2 linked regions of the Drosophila melanogaster genome follow. The protein of the gene in region 1 interacts with the protein of each later gene in a pairwise test. Each region holds a gene or a part of one and is shown on either strand. Other genes may lie near its edges. The genes, in order: CG31820 and CG8568.

Evidence for each region.
Region 2: the proteins of CG31820 (region 1) and CG8568 interact in a two-hybrid assay, tested with the Drosophila melanogaster proteins (one large-scale study listed by BioGRID).

What each region holds. Positions count from the first base shown.
Region 1 is NT_033779.5:16,004,994-16,007,932, reverse strand, and holds CG31820 (uncharacterized protein), read left to right. Parts: upstream 1-1,653; 5' UTR 1,654-1,766; intron 1,767-1,817; 5' UTR 1,818-1,838; coding exon 1,839-2,027; 3' UTR 2,028-2,144; downstream 2,145-2,939. Other genes in the region: CG13245 (uncharacterized protein), read right to left, coding at 2,581-2,823.
Region 2 is NC_004354.4:17,450,865-17,454,796, forward strand, and holds the start of CG8568 (uncharacterized protein), read right to left. Parts: upstream 1,680-3,932; 5' UTR 1,465-1,679; coding exon 1,179-1,464; intron 272-1,178; coding exon 1-271.

The sequences.
Region 1 (2,939 bases):
GGCGCACACTCAAGTGGCCCGGCTCAATATGTTTTTGGAGTGAAATGAAGTGCCCATCGTATCCACTTGGAAAAGAAAAAAAAAATGAGAAAAAAAAGAGAAAAGAGGCAGGGCGGCCAAGAGGCACTGGCATTGGAATCCCGGCAGAAATTTTTGTATTTGATTTAAAAGGAAATACCTTTTTTAGTTGAAGCCTCACTTGTTTACCCTGCTGTTTTGCTTTTCCCTGGTGTTTCTCCCTTTTTGTGGTGACATTTTTATACACTGTGTGTGTGTGCAGGGGGATAAGTTTTTGGCATCCTACCAATGAGATTATCTTAAGTGGGGTGTTGTTTTTCGGTTCGAAGGAATGTGGAGGGCCCTCAATTGCAGTCTTGAAGCTGGGTTCCCTTTTTTGGTTCGTTTAGAAATGAGTTTCGCAATAGTTCTTAACTGTCTGGGGGTCTGTGGTTTTTCCTTTTCTCCAACAGCGAGCTGTTATTGGTAAATCGATGTAAATTGCTTTTTAAACAAGTTGAATGAATAAATTATAAGGCCAAATGGAATGCCAAGCGGAGGATTCATTGCCAATGTTAATAGTGAGAATTTTTGAAATTGTTATAAAATCCAGCGTTTAAGGTAAGCACAAAATTTGATAGCACAAAATATTATGAAATAAGTTTCAGTTATTATCTTTTTTTAATCTTATTGTATTTTAAAGCTAAGTATATAATAAAAACTCAAATATTTATTTATTGAAGCGTAGTTATTTGACATTTGCTGATTTGCTGATCACAACCAAAACAATTGCTTTTCATTATTCAAAATTTAAGCTGGCCGATTTAATACCATTTGAACAATTCCAATTTAGTTTAAATAAGTTACATTGTCCATTCTCTGATACAGACTTCTCATATATATGGATATATGTATATGTATATGCTGTGAGTGCATCTTTTGAAAGCCTCAAGTGTGAACACACATTATAATAAACGCCTCAATTGTTGTTCAGTCATCTGCGTAATTTATGTTTAGCTAATGTTCAGGGATCGATGAGCTTGTCAGCTTTTGTGAATCACAACGCCCGCAGACGCACACGAGGTCCTGTATATCCTATATCCTGTCCCGCACACACATGCCCTAACATTAACCCCCCGAAAACCGAAGGAAGCTGGAAAATGGCGTTAAGGTTGCTTCGTTGAGTCTAATAGACTTTCATGTCTGCCTCGACATTGCCGTTGCCCCAGTTTAGAGCGAGTCCTGTACAGAATCCTTTCGGCATCTTCCATCCCATCTCATACTGGTGTTATTCTGCCCAGAGTCGTCGTTTTTTTTTTTTTTTTAGACATGTTTCAATGATTTCTTATTTTTGCCAGAGGGGCGAATCTGTTGCGCTGCTGTTTTGTCGTTAGAGAAATTCAATTTTTTTGTATTTGTCGCTTCGATGTTAAATCATTGATGTGTGAAATTTGTGAGCTCAGCCAGGAGGAGAGCAGCATCAACAACTTGACTTTGATCGATTTTAAAGGCAGTTTCTCTAGCCCACTTTGATTTCCTTTCTGGCTTTCTAGCTGGTTTTAAATTTTTCCACATCAAGTTGGCTTCGGGAAGAATTTCCCAGGGCATGGGCTTGGTTTTCTTAGCTCAGCTCATTCCAGTCTATTTACTTGTTTTGTAAACAGCTCCGTACGCTTTCACCAGTACATAAACCAAAAGTACGAAAAAATTTCGTGTTTCAACATTTTTGGAAATCTTTACTCAAGCATTTCTCTTGCCTTAAACAAAATGTGAGTAGTCCTAATTTCCCCGAAAGATTTTCTATCGAATATCTCCTTCAGTTATAACCTATCCTCCCGAAGATGTGTTGCCAAGGAGCTTGTGGATCGGTATCCTATGCCCTGGCTTATGGCCCCGTCGGACCCGCTCTGCCAGCCATGAACTATAATAACTGCTGCTGTGGACCCAATCCTCCCTGTGGTCCCTGGACATGTCCTCCTAACAGGTGCTGTTGTGCCGGCGAATGGGGTTGCTTTGGGCCTTTTTACTGAGAAACCCAAGGTACGACAATTCCTGAAGAAAACGACGTGAAATTTTTTTGTGCTTTTGGTTTGAACCACATTTTCACTTACACAATGGTTCGAGCTTTTCAATAAATTAATGTACTTAAACAAGTAACTTCTTATTTACTATTTGTCAAATTTCTTGAGAAATTTCATATTCCATTGATACGTATATGAAAAATAAGAAAATATACCAAAATCCTAGATAGCACAATCTTACTAGGATTGAGTATCCTAAGTATACCATGAGGTATAATTCTTTCTCTAATGGTTCTTGAAATTGTATGGCTCAAATTTAATATTCCTTTAAAAAAAAATATACTAAAATTGTCGACAGTTTTACCAGGACCAGGATACCGATAGGAAAAATATGAAAATAATTAGGCGCGACAGCGTAGGTACAAGATCTCTAACTAAGGAACAAACTTACTTAGTCAGTATTAGTCCCTCAAATTTTTATTGGTTTCCCATGGAAATGGCTGGTACAAGAAGATCTACACTGATAATTTTAGTAGTATAAGACCGCATTTCCTCCTGGCGTTTATTCGTCTTCCTTTTTTTTCTGAGTACTCGCCAGTGTGCAGAGCTGCGCATCCAGTGGAGACAGGATGTGCGGAACATAGCAGTTGTTGGTGTTCTTCTTGCGGCTAGTATCTAGAACATAACACTTATCGCAAGGACCGCAGGGCGTGGGTATAAAGTCCCGACCGGTGAAACGCAGTGTTGACAAGGGAGGATTATTGCAGGCCAGGTCAAAGGAGGCACAAGCCCAGCCACCACACATGGTTAGGAAACGGATGTGGGAACTATATGGAAATGTGAATGATTAAAAATAAAATTTTTAAATAAAATTTTATAAAAGCATAAATGAAACTTACCCCGGTGAACGTTTAAGGTTGT
Region 2 (3,932 bases), on another chromosome or scaffold:
AGACCCATTCGCATGCACTGGAAATGCATCTCGAAGAGATCGGTGGTGGCCATCCGAACCACAAAGTCCATGCACATGTTTAGGTTGTTCCCAACCACTGTGACGTCGGTCATTTGGACGCACATGGCCATCGGTACACCCATCATGACGGGAATGCAGAAGGGCGCCGGATTGCGCACCGAGATTCCGTATTTCGAGGAGGGCCTGCCATTAAGAAAGACCTCCAGTTGGGCCTCCTCCAGATGCGGCACGAAGCTCACGTTGGCGCACACTGCAAACAGAGGCAAAATGGAAAGAAAACGTTGAGTCAAAATTACAGATAGGCACAACAATGAAACGATTCGATTCAATGAATGAAAGTGGCGGGTGGCAAACTGTCGACGAATCCCAGGCAAATGGTGGGTGCTGGGTGCTGAATGGTGGATGGTGGATGAGGCGATGAGGGGGTGGCCACCGCTGGAAGCGCCAACAATTTGTGGCATTTTGATTGGCAAATGCTGGCATGTCACGAAGCGAAGCGGAGCGAAATGGAAACCAAGCCAAACCACCGATCGCATTGTAGTCTCCGGCATGCGCCGCCAACCCGCGGCCAAGATCGGTTTCTTGGCCAAGGAAATCGGCCTGGAATCCAGCCGAAATCGCAGCCAAATATGTGTGGCCACCACCCGCAGGCCAGGAGCCACGATTCCGACCAGGCTAAGTGACGGCAAAGATCCCAATTTATGCATAAGCATATGGCCGACGGATTGATCCTACGGCGATTACTAACCTAGTGCCCATTAGTGTATATTAAGATATTAAGGCTAAATAGCATGCTGAAAATGAAAACCCATTAATGGTTTTCTTCACCAAATAAATAACAAGTGCACTGTGCAAAAAATCTACTAAATGCATATCCTTTCTCGCGTAGATATAATACATGTTATTCGTAATCAATGTTCTTGTTGGTTTCAAACCATAATAATATACATCAATACAAAACCATTTCTTTCTAAAGAAATGAGAAATATTTTTAACATTCTGAATTTGAAATTATAACTAAGGTTGTAATTTTCATAATGTCTCGAATGTCACACTGTTTCATATTACTAATCTCCTAATCAATAATCTACTAAACATTTAAAGTATTGCAATATTCTATTCCCCATTAATAGCTAACGAAGCATGGGCTTTCTCACCTTTCTGATCGAATCGGTACTGATCGACCTTGAGACCGGCGCAACATCCGCAGGTGGGTCCGCTGCACTCGCAGGGCTGGCCAAAGGTGGACCAGATGGACCCCTTTTCGGAGTACTTGACGCTGGCCAGATTTCGGCCCCTGGACACACTGACCGTGGGCGGTAGGTAGGGTCGGTGGGTCTTCAGTTCGTAGAAGATCAGACCGTTGCTGTAGCTGCGCGAGGATGTGTGAAGGGGGCACAGGATGAGCACAATGGCCGCGCTTAGGCAAATCCAGGGAATCATGGCCACTGTGGATGTCAAACTGCACACTGAACAAAAAACTGATGAACACTGAACAAAAAAGGGTGCTGCAACGCGTTTCAGGTATGGTATTGTGTGTGGTATTCTCTTGGCGAATTCCCGGATCACTTCACGATTAACGGTAACGGTACAGCCGTGGCAATCGCAATCCAATGGCAATGGCAATTCAACTATTATTCCAGTGGAGCAATGACAACCGCTCGCGATCGACGACAATTAAATATTAAAACGCTGAACGCGACGAGCGTTAGCTTAAAAATGAAATGGAAACCGCCGCCCGAATAAGTGGACGTCGACGTCGACGGCAGCGACTGCGACGGCGAGCGCGGCAGAGGCCAAAATGTTGCTGCTGGGGGGACACCGCAGCAACAGCAGCACCACGCAGCAGCAACAGCAACAGCAGCCGCAGCAGCAGCAATATCCAACGGCAGCGCGGCAGCCTCGTTAAATTGTCGCTCGTTGCGGCTGTTTGCTGTTTTTGCGGGCAAACCATTTGTACACTACTCGAAAAAGGGTAGCACAGTCCAGTGAATAGCTTTGTACATTCCGATATGCTTAAGAACTTCAAATAGTAAAATCCTTATAATTCTACTCTAACAAATATTGAGTATCATAATCAAATGTATATTCAGTTGAAATTAAATAAAGTATTATATATATTTAACAAACAAGATATTTAAATAATATATAATTATAATATAAAATATATAATATATAAATTCTTTATAATAATTATGTATATAACCCAATAATATATATTCTTAGTATTATTAAGTTTATGATCCTATTTTATTTGTGATTTGGTTTAATTTAAAACTTTTCTTATGATTTGCATTTATTTCACTTTGCGACTTGAATTTTTTTGGCAGCATGGTTTGTTTTTTAAAAAATATTATTATTTTTATTTAAAAATCCATAGTTGTTTAAACATATCCTAACTCCCTGATTAGGGTATTCCATATTCGCATTGATCTCAGACGATTTAGTTCTTATCAGCAGCGGCGAATCGCCAATTTCTGTTGTTGCTGCTGCAACCATTTTTTTTTTTTTTTTGTATTCCTCTTTACTATTGTTGTTACTGTTTCTGTTACTGTTACTGCTGCTGTTCGTGCAGTTGCAGTTTTTACTGTGGCAGCCGCTTTGTTTATTTGTCTTTTAAGCCGATGTTGCTGCTGTTGCTGCTTTGCTTTGTTGCGTGCGACGAGCGGTTTTTGTTTTTTTGTCGTATTTCGGGTGACAGTGACAAGAAAATTGCGGCGATCGTGACTGGCTGGGAAAGCCAAAAACAACAAAATTCCACACTCCCTGCCGCATTTGTTGTTGCTGCTGCTGCTGCTGCGTGGTGTTGTTGTTGTTACGCAAAGCACTTGAGGCAGGTCATGGCCCCATGGACAAACCGAAACCCTCCACTCGACTCGACTCCACTCCACTCGTTTTTCGAACTGGGCACCGCACCATTGCCGGCGGCGGGAGTTACGGTTATGGCCGCTGCTGTTGCCATAAACAAGCCTGATTTATCGATCCGATTGCCGCATCCGTTGTGGATGTCACTAGTTTATTCTCTTCCCTGGTTCATCCTTTTCCCCAAAATGGCATTCTTCGAATGCATCAACAAGCAAATAAACCAGTCCTTTGGGCAACACGTCCTGTTTCATTTCATTTCATTTTGTATTCGATTGTTGCGATTCCCATTTGATGGTTCTATTTCAGCAAATTGGGCTTTTTTAACCCTTTTATAACAATCTCTGGCACTGCAAAGTCCTTTCTTTTAACAACAATAACGAACTACACGGAAAATTGTATCTGTTTTCAAGAAGTGAAATACGTTGCAAGAAGATAAATTAACAAATTTGAAAACCTCTTTGTTTGCATTGCATCTGAACAACAAAATATTTCTATGATTTTTGGCATAAGCTATGATATTATATTAACAAATCATTAATGTTTATAAAAGAGATATTTATGAAAGAGATATTTCAAACTATTGGGGCATCACTGCATTTGAATGGCAGCGTATTTCGGTGGCTATTTCGGGTACCGGTCCCAATCGCCTTAGGGCCCCAATATTGCATAATGTCTGGCCCAGACTCATTTATCAGCCGGTGGCCGGTGTCCGATGGCCAATGGCCAATGGCCGATGACCAAAGGCCAGCGGAGGAGAGTCAGCCGAACTGCAATCTCGTTAAGCGTTAAGGGGGACAGACACTTGCCAAGTTCGAATCATTATTTCGATTCAAAGGCGGGCGGCGGAATAAAGCAAAATGGAAATAGATGTGAAAATGAAATTGAAAATGGAAGTGGAAATAAAAGTGTCGCCAACAATTAACGCTAATAAGCTGGACTGGCTGGGAGCTGCGGTGCAATGTGCTTTCGTTTATGTAATGGGCCATCTCGTCATTATCAGCCGACTCGCTTATTGGGCATTATTATTCATTACTGATAGCATCAAT